Oryctolagus cuniculus: one gene and its partners. The protein of the gene in region 2 interacts with the protein of the main gene of each other region in a biochemical or structural test. Links are inferred from orthologs where the notes say so. Each region holds a gene or a part of one and is shown on either strand. Other genes may lie near its edges. The genes, in order: EFEMP2, LOX and ELN.

Region 1 (3,812 bases), on a different chromosome or scaffold from region 2:
CGTGGGGGCACCCTGGCCGCCGCTGGGGGAGCCCGCGCAGGGCTGAGCTCACCGCTGCAGGAGAAGCCGTCGCGGTGCAGCTCGTAGCCCTGGTGGCAGCGACACAGGAAGGTCCCGTAGGAGTTGAAGCAGCGCTGCTCACACGGGGCGCCCATGTCGCACTCGTTCACATCTGGGGGTGCCGGGACAAAAGCAGAGGGGCAGTCTGGGCTGGCCGCCAAGGGCGCTCCCCCAGCTCATACCTCCCAGCCCCGGGGGCCCCAGGAGCCCGGCCTGGCCCAGCCTCACCCACACAGGAGCGGTTGTTGGGCCCCAGCTGGAAGCCCGGTTCGCACTGGCAGCGGAAAGAGCCGGGCAGGTTCACACAGCGGTGCTGGCAGTAGCGGTAGCGGCACTCGTCAACGTCTGCGACGGCGGCGGGGAGGGAGGCCGCGGAAGGCGCCAGTCAGTGGGGCCCCCACTCGAGGCCTCACTGCCCACAGACCCGGATGTCTCTGGGCAGCTGGACGGGGCCAGCCAGCCAGAGGACGCACGCACGCACAGGCACACACACACACACACATGCGCATGCGCACACACACGGTGTCCATGCAGTCCTCTGTGTCTGATGGCAGGAAGGCAGAGGGGGCCGGGGGCTGGGGTGACGCCCGGGGGTGGGCTGGAGTTGGGGGCTCAGGAACAGACAGGCTGCTGGCCGCACTCACCCACACACTCCGGCCCGATCTTGCGGTAGCCATCCGGGCAGGTGCACTCGTACGAGCCAGGCAGGTTGTGGCAGTCCTGGCTGGGCCGACAGTCGTGCAAGGCCTGCGCACACTCGTCCACATCTGCAGCAGACACCCCTGAGCCTCCGCCTGGGGTCGCTCACGCCATCCGGCGAGGCAGGCACCCAGCGTGGGAGGACGCAGTCCAGAAGCCACCACGAGGGCACAGGAGACCCCTCCCACCCGCCCACCAGCCTGGGAGGCAGCAGGAGACAAGGCTCTGTCCACACCCTCAGCCCCCAGCGACCCTGATCCCAGGACACCCCCCGCCAGGGCCCGCGGCTTCCAGGGGTGCAGTCCAGATCAAGGCTCCTGCAGGGTCTCTGCAGCACGTGAGGGGAGGGTCCCCTGGGACTGGCCCCGGACACAGCGAGGGCCTGGATGAGGGGCCGGGCAGCCCCTGGTGGCCCCCAGGAGCCATCAGTAAGGGCTTGGAGCAACGCAAGAACGCGAGCCCAAGTTGCGAGAAGCGTGGCGACAGCATGGGACGCCCGGGCCCAGAGGGACTCACCCACGCAGCTCTCCTGTTCGTCGGGCTCATAGCCTGGCGGGCAGGAGTTGGGGTGCTGAGCGGGGGGCACAGGCGGCGGGGGGCCCTCGCCGTGCAGGTCGTTGATGACGGAAGCGGAGCGCGGCAGACACAGGTAGCCCCCGTAGTGATTGATGCACTTCATCTCGCCCTTGCAGGCCTCGGGGATGGTCAGGCACTCATTCACATCTGCGGGAGGCGGCCTGCTCGGCACAGCCGGTCCCGGGAGGGGGGCCGGCCCCGGGCGGGGCGGGGGGGGCGAGGCAGGAGCCCGCTTGGCCCTCCCTGAGCTCCACAAGCTGAGGCAGCCTGGTGTACCCAGGACCCCTCCCCTCCACACGGCCCCGCCACAGGCTGGAAGTGGGGAAGGGGTTGCCACTGCTGCCCCCACGCTGCCTCCAAGGGGGTCCTGGCCCTGGCTCAGCCGGGCAGTGATCTGCAGCCCCCCCCCCCCCCGTGGACACCGCCCTCCCAGGTTGCGATGGGGCAAAGCCTTCCATGGGACCAGCTGCTCCGGGGCTCCCCCAGTGGCTCTCCCATCTACCCCGGGGGGGGGGGACAGGGTTACCGGGGTTCTTGGAGAGGGAGGGGCCGCCCTGCCCTGCTGGGCTGGGTAGAGCACAGGCCCCCTGGGCTCTGGTCCCTGCTCCTGGGGGGCTGGTCCCCCTGTCACACTCACCCCGGCAGTGCTGGCTGTCTGGGTCCCACTCATAGCCATCGGTGCATTCCTGGAAGGAAACCGGAGGCTGCAGTGGTCACCCAGGGTCCCCTCCAACTGGCCAGGCCAATAGCAGGGCCTGAGCCTGGGCCACCCTCCCAGTCTGTTCCAAACAACGGCCCCCAGCTGCTCTACCGGCCGGGCTGGGGGGGCGAATCTCCCCCAAGAACAGCCTCCGGGGACCCTGGTCTCCCAGTGGTAGGCCACCCGCCCCCGCTGTCCCCACCGTGTAGCTGTCCGGTTCCTCGGAGTCCTGCGGTGACGCTGCCCCCAAGAGCAGCAGCAGCAGCGCCCAGAGCAGCAGAGACCCAGGGAGGCAGGAGGCGAAGGGGAGCATCCTGCGGCCGGGAGGGGGCGGGCGGGTCAGGGGCCTCTGCCACGGCCGCCCCATCCCCCCGCACCGGGCCCCGGCCCCGCCAGCTCCGGCTCAGGTCCGAGCCTGGGGCCCTGCAGCCCCGCAGGACCCGGGGCCCACTCGTTTCGTAGGCCCGGGTTCCGGGCCCACTCCGCCCCCGCCCGGTTCCCTGGCGGTGCGGGCCTCTCGGCCCGGCGGCCGCCGACTCTGCCGAGACTCCGGCCCGCGCCCCCCTCCCACGGGCCGCCACTCACTCGGCCGCGACGCCCCCGCGGCTCCGGCGGCTCCAACAGTGCCTGCGGGCGGACGGACGGGCGGACGGCGCAGCTCCCTGGACGCGCGGCCCCAGGAAGCGCCCCCCGCCCGCCCGCCCGCCGCGGTGCGGCCCACCCCGGCGCCTCCGCCCGCCCTTCGGCGGATTCCTGAGCCCGCGCCAGGGGGAGGGACCCCGACCCCCCGCTTCTCCGCCCCCGGCCGGCGGCCGCAGGCCCCCGCCCGGTCCCCCGCGGCGCCTCCCGGAGCCGCCTCCCGGCGCCGGGCCAGGGTCCCCCAGCGCTCGATCGTGGTGCCATGGACCTGGATGCCAAGCCCCCAGACTCACTCGGGGGGGGGGGCAGGCCCTCATCAGAAACGTCATCCCGCGCACCTGGCTGCTACCTACGCGCGCAGAATTCCTTTCTGCGCACCCACTGCTCAGTCCCGCACCCCCAGACCCTCATTCTGAGCCTCCCCGAAGGTAGGATCCGAGGCCCCACCCAGCCCTGGGGCCTCCATCCCCTCACTCGACCCCCCCAGAATTGTATTCTGTGCCCCCAGACCGTCACTCCAGACGTCCCCAAAACTTCACCCCGGGCCCCCGACCCTCGCCCCGGCACGAGACGCTCCCGGGTCCCGGGAGCAGAGCTGCCCATCTCTCCCTTCTACCCCCCCCCCCGCCCCGCCATCTCCCGCCAGGTGGTCCCTGCGCTCCTGCACGGCCTCCCCCGCCCCCGCGCTCAGCCCTCCAAGCCGAGGTCGGGGGCGGGGGCGCAGGTCCCTTTTGGCCCCAAATGAATGGCAGGCCCCCGCGAAGCAGGGACAGGGTGCACTCGGGGGCCAGGGACGCCAGGCTCCGGTGCCAACGCCTTCGCGACCCTCCTCTCGCCCGCGCCCCCCACTCGGCTTCCGACCCCTCCCCCAGCGGAGGGCGTGGCCGGGGCGGAGCCCGGGAGGGTTCGACTCCCAGGAAGGGGCGGGGCTTCGCGCTGCCCACGTCTCAGGGCTGGGCCAGACGGGAAAGGGCCGCGTGTGCAGGGCTCCCGGCACCCCGCAGGCTGCGAGAGGGAACAGTCGGGTCTTCCCGTCCCTTCCCCATCCCTGCTTGACCCCCCGATCGCCCCCAACTGACCCGGTGGGGCTCAGGCTGATGCATTCCTACCACCTGCCCAGGGGCTGGGGCAAGAAAGC
Region 2 (3,812 bases):
GGCCCGTCCACTTACTGGTGACAGCTGTGCCACTCCCAGGAGTATCTCGGTCGGCTTGGTAGGAAATCGGACGTGCCCTGGTTTTTCACTCGTTGGGGGAACCTGAGCAGCACCCTGTGGTCATAGTCTCGGACGTCTGCCCTGTACGCTGAACTGCGATTTTGAAAGCAGATATGGGGTCAGGGTCACAGCCTATGAGCTACAGACACAGAACCACAAACAAAGCCCACTGCCCGCTGTGACAGCCTCCCTGCCCCCAACAAACCTCGCCCATGGGCTCTGAGAGGCCGACTTGAGAATGAAACACAAGATAGAAATCCAGGCAGAACTTTAAAAAAGTGAAAACATAACAAAAGGAGCACTAAAAGCCTCTACGTGCGACGTGAACTGTATACGTAAAATCGGTTACCAACATGAAGAAGGGACACGGAAGCGCAAAGTCTGCCAAACGAAAACCCAAACCCAGACCTAACTAACGATTCAAACTGCAACCACACATTTCTTTTAAATTGTTAACTGAGATCTAAAACGGTGAAATAACTAAAAAAAGAAATGTTCAAGTTCGGATCACTAAATGTGGTAACTTTTAACCAGGGGACTGCACTGAAGTGACACCCTAAGGAGCTCGGTGATGTGAGTGATGCAAGACCCAGCAATGGACATGAACTTGAACTTCTTCCCTGGCTTTAGCCCCAGACCACAAAGGGCCAACGTGGAGGAAATGCACACAGGCCACGGTGTTCCCACTGCTGTCTTTCGTGTGCATCTGCTCAGCTCTCTCCACGGCTTTCTTTTCCACTGCACTTTCGCACGGCACCCACAGAAACGTGCATTGCTCCCTCTGCTGGCTTTTCAGCAACACAGGCCGAGAAGCCCCATCCAGAAAAGGCTGTTTTATTTTAGAACTGATGGGAAAACAAAGCTCTTGCTTCACGGTCTCCTTTTGGCTGCAGGAACAGCAAAACAACCAAGTTAACCGTGGCCTCAGACAAAAGAGGGAAAGTCAGCCCTTACCAATGAGGAGATGCCACAGTGGCAGATTTCGCCCCCACTCTCTCAAGCGCGCATTCCCAAGCTCTTGGTTTACCGTCCTGTTTCCTGCATTAGCACAGAGTCGTTTTACACTAGCTTATCGGAAACAGTCGGCTCCCAGGTTTAAGGATCTCGGAGAGAAAACAAAAGTAACATGGGGCTTCCAGTCTCCCAGATAAGCGTTCTCGCTGCGGTTGGAAAGGCAGGACGCAAAGAAATCAAAGCTTTAACTCTCCGTGCAGGAGGCCAGCATCTGCCCAAGAGGTCGCGTCCTGTCTGCAGGAACAGACCCCGTGGGGACCCGGCAGCAGCGGGGAACCCCGGCGTGGGGGGCAGGGCCGCCGAGACCCCAGCCCAGCCCGTACCTGGCCAGGCAGTTCTCCTCGGCGGCGCATCTCAGGTTGTACATGGACATCTTCTGCACGTACGTGGACGCCTGGATGTAGTAGGGGTCGGGCACCAGGTCCGGGAGACCTAGACGCCAGCAGGCGACAGAAACGCCGCGGTGAGGCAGGCCGGCGGACCCCCGGGGCGGCTCGGGTGCTCGCAGGTGCCTTACTCCACGCCGTGCGCCCGCGGGGGCTGCAGGGCGCGGCCGAGGGGGCGCGCGCGCGGGGCTGGGAAGCGAGGCGGAAAGGATGCCACAGGGGCCAGGCGCGAGGCGGAGGACCGCATCCGCGCGGCCCCGGGCCCGCCGCACCCAGCAGCCACGTCGAGGGCACGGCGCGGGGCCGGGGCGCGCGGGCGCTTACCGTACTGGAAGTAGCCGGTGCCGTAGCCGGGCCGGTACCTGCTCCCTGGCCGGGGCCTCTCGTACGTGTCGTAGTAGTTGTAATAGGGGTTGTCGTCCGAGTACTTGTAGGGGTTGTACGGGTCGTCGCCCACCATGCGGTCCACGTGGCTGGGCGGCCGCAGGTTACTGAGCGCCGGGGGCTCGCCCTGCGCCGTCCGGTTGCCAGCGCGCGAGGCGCCGGCGTCGCGGGCCCCAGGCGACGCGTAGCCGGCTTGGAACCAGTGGCGGCCGGCGGGCCGGGGGCGGCTGGCGGCGGCCGTGCGGTTGTCTCGCAGCAGCAGCACCGGCGTGCGCTGCTGCGGGCCGGCGGCGCGCTGGGCCCCCGGGGCGGCGGCGCCCGCGTCGCGACGGCGCTGAGGCTGGTACTGGGCGCCCAGGCTCAGCAGGCTGAACACCTGCCCGTTGTTCTCCCATTGGATCCTCTGGCGCCAGGCGCCCGGGGCGGCCGGCGGCTCGCGCGGGGGCTGCTGCTGGCCCGCAGCCTGCGGGGCGCCGCACACGAGCGCGCAGAGCTGCAGCGGCCCGAGCAGGAGCACCGTCCAGGAGCAGAGCATCGCTCCCTGCACGGGGTCGTCCCCAGGACGCGGCTCGGAGAAAACGGAAAATAAAACTAAAAAAAAAAAGAAAAAAAAAATGGGGGCTCAGATCACGTGCGGGAGGGGCGCTCTTCCACAGGGAGGGGGGCGCAGCGCGGGCCCCTCGGTCCCCGACCGAGCCGCGCCGAAGGGACGCCGCGGCCCCTGGAGCAGTCGAGGCGGCCGCCCGGACGTGGCGCGCGTGGCTCTCGCCTCCACCGGTCCCTCTGGAAGGCGGCGGGGAGCGCGCAGCGTCTGCAGCGGAGGAAGGAGGGGAGATTTTAAACTTTCTGGCACGTTTGCAAAGTTACACAAGCCGTCCTGGCGCGGCCGGCCCTCGGCGATTTGTTCACGTAATGCGATTGGAAACGTGCGCGGCGGACAGCTCCCCGCCCGCCCCGCGCGCCCGCGCGCCCGCCCCCAGACACGTTGCAGGGCGCGCGCGCTCGGGGAGAGCACGGAGCGCCGCGCGCGGCCCGGGACGCCCGGCTCTATCTGGGGCGAACATGCAGGAATTTCTGAAAGGCTCAGACAGGCGACGGCAGCCAGGCGGTGGGCCGCCGCCAAAGTATGCACGGAGAAAAATGCTATGAGGTCACCGGGCCTGGCGAGGCGGGGAGAGCGCGGGCGGCCGCCGGGAACTCGCGCGCGTCCGGAGCGGGGTCCGGCCCGGCCGCCCCGCGCGCACTCGCCTGCCCTGGTGGGCGGCGCCCTCTTCCAATCCACCCCTGGATATCGAATTCTGTTTTTCGGAGTGTGGGTAACATGAGAAACGGGTGACAAATCTGTTTCCTACGGCGACTATTTTAATAACCCAAAGCGAGATTTTTTTTTTTAACAGGGAACAAAGCCTGGCAGCGCCAAGACTATGCAGAACCCCAACTCCCCGCCAAAAAATGAGGGCCGGGGGTGCGCTTGGAGCTGGCGTGAGCGCCGGCTTTTCTCCGTGGGGCCTGCCGGGAAGGCTCCGGAAGGGGAGAGCCGCAGGCTGCACCCCCCCCCCCCCCCCGAGCCCTGATAAGGCTTGACGTGGGATTCTGGACACTTGAGTCGCCACTGGTGCTTCCTGGGAGTGGGTGTAGGCGTCCCCCGGAGAGGGACTGGTCCTCCAGGCCCCGTGGAGGGGTTGCGTGGAGTTCTGATGGCAGCCCAGAGCAGCCAGCAGGAGTGGCAGGGGGCCTCGCTTACCCTGAGAAGTGAGGCTTGGCGCTCCAGCCGGCGTTCACACCCCCCAGGGGCCGGCCCGCGCAGTTTCAAAGAAACTGGTACAGAAGGGCACAGTGTAAAACTACCGCCCCAAACCGGCCTTGGAGAGAACCAGCCTGCTCAGCGCTCTCTTCACGGAGCTGCTGTGGACACAGGTGCACGCATATTCACCTGTCTCTGTTATGCTGGGTCTTGCATACTTGGCG
Region 3 (3,812 bases), on a different chromosome or scaffold from region 2:
GTGAATAACCCCAGGGAGAATTCAACTTTGGAGATGTCTACTACTAGTTCCCCGGGATCCAGCCGTCCGAGTTACAAATTCTGAATAAGAGAATTTTTTTTTTTTAAAGAGCATTCCCACGGTCCTCTGATTTGATGCATTTTTGGCAGGCGTGACATTGCTGGAACCTTCCGCCGGCCCCTGGAGGTGCTCAGGTTTGCAGCCAGAGAGATGAAGCGCCTGGCTCGGGACCTGCGGCTCAGCCCAGTCACAGGCAGGTCCCTCTCTCTGCCTGGGGGCCCTGGGCTCCCACTTCAAAGACCTGGGAGAAGCATGTTTGGGATGGCGCTGCGGGCCAGCGGGCCATAGCAGCAGCGGCTCTGCCCAGCCAGTGTCCAGGGGGCCAGTTTGGCAAGATAAGCTGTGTGTTGCTTGCATGGAGAACAGCCTGCCAAAGACTTTTCAAAAGCAGTGCGTCCAGCGACGTCGGGTGGCATATTTGCTTTCCTGCCAGATGCCCGGGGTGTGGGGGAGGGAGGGGGAGGGTGTTCAAACCCTAAAGCAGCGCTTGTCGGCACTGGCGGGTCATCCATCACCGGGGCAGCCATGCTGGATCCCCTCCCCCCAGCGCAAATCAAACAGGAATTCTGCGGGGTGAGGGTTTGGGGTGGGAACATGGCCAGGGTCAGAATTACTCGGATTTCCCCAGGTATGGACTCCCCCGACCCCAGGACAGCTAGGGCGGGGGGTGGTGGTGGTGGTGGTGGTGGCTGGGAGTGTGTAATTAGGGTCCCTCCAACATCCTTGACCTCATGGGACATTGGTAGTCCCAGTGCACAGACCCCCCCTCGTCCAATCATTGGCCCCATATTTAAAGCCCAGTTTATCCAGCCCCACGGGGTGGAGCTGAGGTTTATCTTCACGGAGAATGACGCAGGTTTGAGGCGGCCCTTCCCTGCGTGTCGTACCCGGCTCCCCAGTGCCCATGTCCGTTTAGCCGCGGCAGATGGGGCTGGTGGATGCTCCCCCCAGCCTGCCTCCGTCTCCTCACTTGGAAAACGCAGATGCTAATTCCCAAGTCTCGGGTCCCTGTGACCCTTTGCTGCTGGCTCACAGCGGCAGCAGTGTCTGGGGACAGGGGCAAGCAGGTGTTTGGGGGTTGTCCTGGACATGGGGGAGGGCACTGGCCTGCAACCCTCAGCCCCCCCCCCCATCCAGGTCCAGGAGTGGACCCCGCACAAGGAAGCTCCGGCTCCCAGCAGCCGAGCCGGCTGGACAATGTCACAGAAGCAGCTGCTGCTCCCGGCCCGCCGTCTGGCTCCGGGCCCGGGGACGGGACGCACCCTGCTCCGCCCTGCAGCCCCAGAGCCCCCCGACTCCAGGTCTGCTGAACGGGCCTCCACCCAGGCCGCCCTCTGCTCTCTCTCCCCACGGCCAGATTCACCTGGTCCCTGCCGGTAGCCCCCTGGAGGCACTGGGTCAGGACCCATCGAGATGGCCCAGCCGTGCCCTGGGGCCCACAGCAGCCCCTGCCACTGTCTGCACTCCATCTGCCAGGAGGCGGACCCCTTTCCCGGCTGCCCGCCGCCCCTGGGAGCGCCCATCTCACAGGCGCACACTCACAGGTGCAGCGACAGCCCTGGAACCAGCCCTTCCACGTGTGTGTGACTCCCCCCCTGCCCCCACCATGGCTACCTGCTCAGGAGTGACAGGCAGAGCTTCCCAGGAGCCCCTACCCCGCCTCACTGCTCCGTGACACGTGTGAGCACATGTACACCTGTGCGACAGCACGCGGCACACTCATCCGCACAGTCACTTGCATGCATGCATGCAGGGGTCACAGCATCCCATCACCAACGTCATCCTGCCCGACTTCCCGGGGGACAAGGGACCTGCTGAGGTCACACAGCTCCCAGCGGGCGGCTGAGTGGTCTCAAAGCCACGTCCCTTGTCCCCAGGGTCCACAGGTGTGCAAACGGCTGGTGCCTGCAGAGCGAGGGGGGTCCCGCCAAGCTCTTCCCAGCGGGTCCTGGTCCCTCCCTCCATGGGGAGGGGGTTTTGGCCAGAGCGGAGTGGCACAGCCTGGACGCTCGGTTGGGACCAGCCTGGGTTGTGGGGGTCTCTGCTTGACAGGTTCTTCTGCAGTACAAGGGGCAACGCTGGGGACCCGGTGGCCGAGGGGCTCCTGGAAGCCCCAGGGGCCAAGAGACTGGCTCCGTCAGTCCAGCCACCTGGCTAAGGGAGCCGCGGGCTCGCGAGGACAGACACCGGGGGCAGGGACAGGCAGGGGGCGGCGCGCAGCGGAGCGGCGGTGCCGAGGGGGCTGGGGACGCGGGGGGCCCTTACCTCCAGGCTGCGAGGGGTGCAGAAGCGACAGCAGGAGCAGCAGGAGTCCGGGCCGTGGGGCCGCCGCTGCCGTCACACCCGCCATCTCTGGGAGAAATGCCCCAGCCTGCTCTCCACGCCTCGTTTTATCCCCAAAGCGTAACTGCCGCCTGGTCGGCTGCGAGGGCGGGCGGGGGGGGGGGGGGCGGGAGGAGGGGGAGGCTGGGGGAGGGGGCCAGGGGAGGGGGCAGTTACGAAAGGGCCGGGCTCGAGCCTCCCGGGCTGGGCCTGCCTGGGCTGGGCTGAGGGCTTTTTCCCTACACACACATACACACACACACACACGCACACGCACACACGCACACTCTTTCCCCATCTCCTTCCCCTGTGCCTGTTCTAGAGGCTGGCTCTGTTCCCGCCAGAAAGTGTGAGGGGGCCTCTGCCAGGACAACCCTCGGGGAGAGAGGAAGCAGGAGGGAGGGCCAGGCAGCCCGGCCAAAAAATCCCGGCCCCAGCCAAGGCCTGAGTGGCCAGGCCCCCGCCCCTCCGGCTGGGCCCCGGGCCCAGCGTGGGGACACAGGCCAGCTGTCCCGCGCCTCGCCCCCACCCCAGGCCTCCAGACTCCCCAGCACCCCCAGGCCTGGCCAGAGACGGGCCCTGCCCAGAGCTGGGGTGGGGTGGGGGGTGGGGGTGGAGGAGGCGGCACCGGACAAGGCCTAGGGGTCCGGTGCCAAGGTCTGCGGAGGTCAAAGGGGCTGTGGGCAGAATGTTCTGGAAGGTGAGATGGGGGCAGCTGGAGGGTGGTCCGGGGGACCCTGGCCCACTCCGGGGCTCCATTCTGCATGAAATGAAGTCCTGCCTGAGTTCCTGCCTGAAGTCCAGGGGAGGGTACGGGATGTGCTGGTGGGGGAAGGTTGGGGCTATTGTCCACCCAGGCCAGGGGCTGCAGGCAGGGGAGAAACCTGGGAGTGCAGGCCGTGTTGACGCTGTCCCCTGGGGCACCTGGGGACCCTGACACGCTCAGCTGCACAGTCCAAGTCGGCCCTGTTGCCAGCGCCACACAGGCTGCAGCCCAAGACACCCGTGAGTCCAGGGACGTGGGAGCCCTGTGCAGACAGACAGGCAGCCCCGCCTCGCCCCTTGGCCACCACCTGTCTCCAGCAAGGCTGAGCCCCAGACCAGGCCTGGGAGCCCCTACATGTCTTGTTCTCCCTGGGAATGCCTGGGGGACTGCCATTCCCCCAGTGGCCAGGAGGGGGCGACCTGCACTGAGACAGCCCAGATGGCGATCCAGCTGAACTCTCAGCCTGGGTGCCACACTAGGAGCAGCTGGGACAAGATGGGGACCCTAGGGGCTTGGGGAGATGTGGGGGGTGTGGAGCTGGGGAGTCCCGTTTCTCCTCACCTCTGCAAGTGGGGCAGAAATAGGGGAGCCGGGAGAGAAGCTGGGCCAGTGAGAGGTCAGTTAAGACCATGGAAGCCGTGGGCTCAGAGGGGTGAGTGCGATG

Evidence for each region.
Region 1: the proteins of LOX (region 2) and EFEMP2 form a complex in vitro, tested with the Homo sapiens proteins (2 studies listed by IntAct, with this or other methods). The link is inferred for Oryctolagus cuniculus from reciprocal best matches to the Homo sapiens genes LOX and EFEMP2.
Region 3: the proteins of LOX (region 2) and ELN form a complex in vitro, tested with the Homo sapiens proteins (2 studies listed by BioGRID and IntAct). The link is inferred for Oryctolagus cuniculus from reciprocal best matches to the Homo sapiens genes LOX and ELN.

The regions. Positions count from the first base shown.
Region 1 is NC_091432.1:5,896,872-5,900,683, reverse strand, and holds the start of EFEMP2 (EGF-containing fibulin-like extracellular matrix protein 2), read right to left. Parts: upstream 2,793-3,812; 5' UTR 2,621-2,792; intron 2,350-2,620; 5' UTR 2,349-2,349; coding exon 2,238-2,348; intron 2,022-2,237; coding exon 1,973-2,021; intron 1,483-1,972; coding exon 1,276-1,482; intron 828-1,275; coding exon 705-827; intron 406-704; coding exon 289-405; intron 173-288; coding exon 53-172; intron 1-52. UniProt on the Homo sapiens protein: Plays a crucial role in elastic fiber formation in tissue, and in the formation of ultrastructural connections between elastic laminae and smooth muscle cells in the aorta, therefore participates in terminal differentiation and maturation of smooth muscle cell (SMC) and in the mechanical properties and wall integrity maintenance of the aorta.
Region 2 is NC_091437.1:11,784,015-11,787,826, forward strand, and holds the start of LOX (protein-lysine 6-oxidase), read right to left. Parts: upstream 2,385-3,812; 5' UTR 2,380-2,384; coding exon 1,785-2,379; intron 1,507-1,784; coding exon 1,398-1,506; intron 154-1,397; coding exon 16-153; intron 1-15. UniProt on the Homo sapiens protein: Responsible for the post-translational oxidative deamination of peptidyl lysine residues in precursors to fibrous collagen and elastin. Regulator of Ras expression. May play a role in tumor suppression. Plays a role in the aortic wall architecture.
Region 3 is NC_091450.1:50,184,323-50,188,134, forward strand, and holds the start of ELN (elastin), read right to left. Parts: upstream 2,485-3,812; 5' UTR 2,411-2,484; coding exon 2,326-2,410; intron 1-2,325. UniProt on the Homo sapiens protein: Major structural protein of tissues such as aorta and nuchal ligament, which must expand rapidly and recover completely.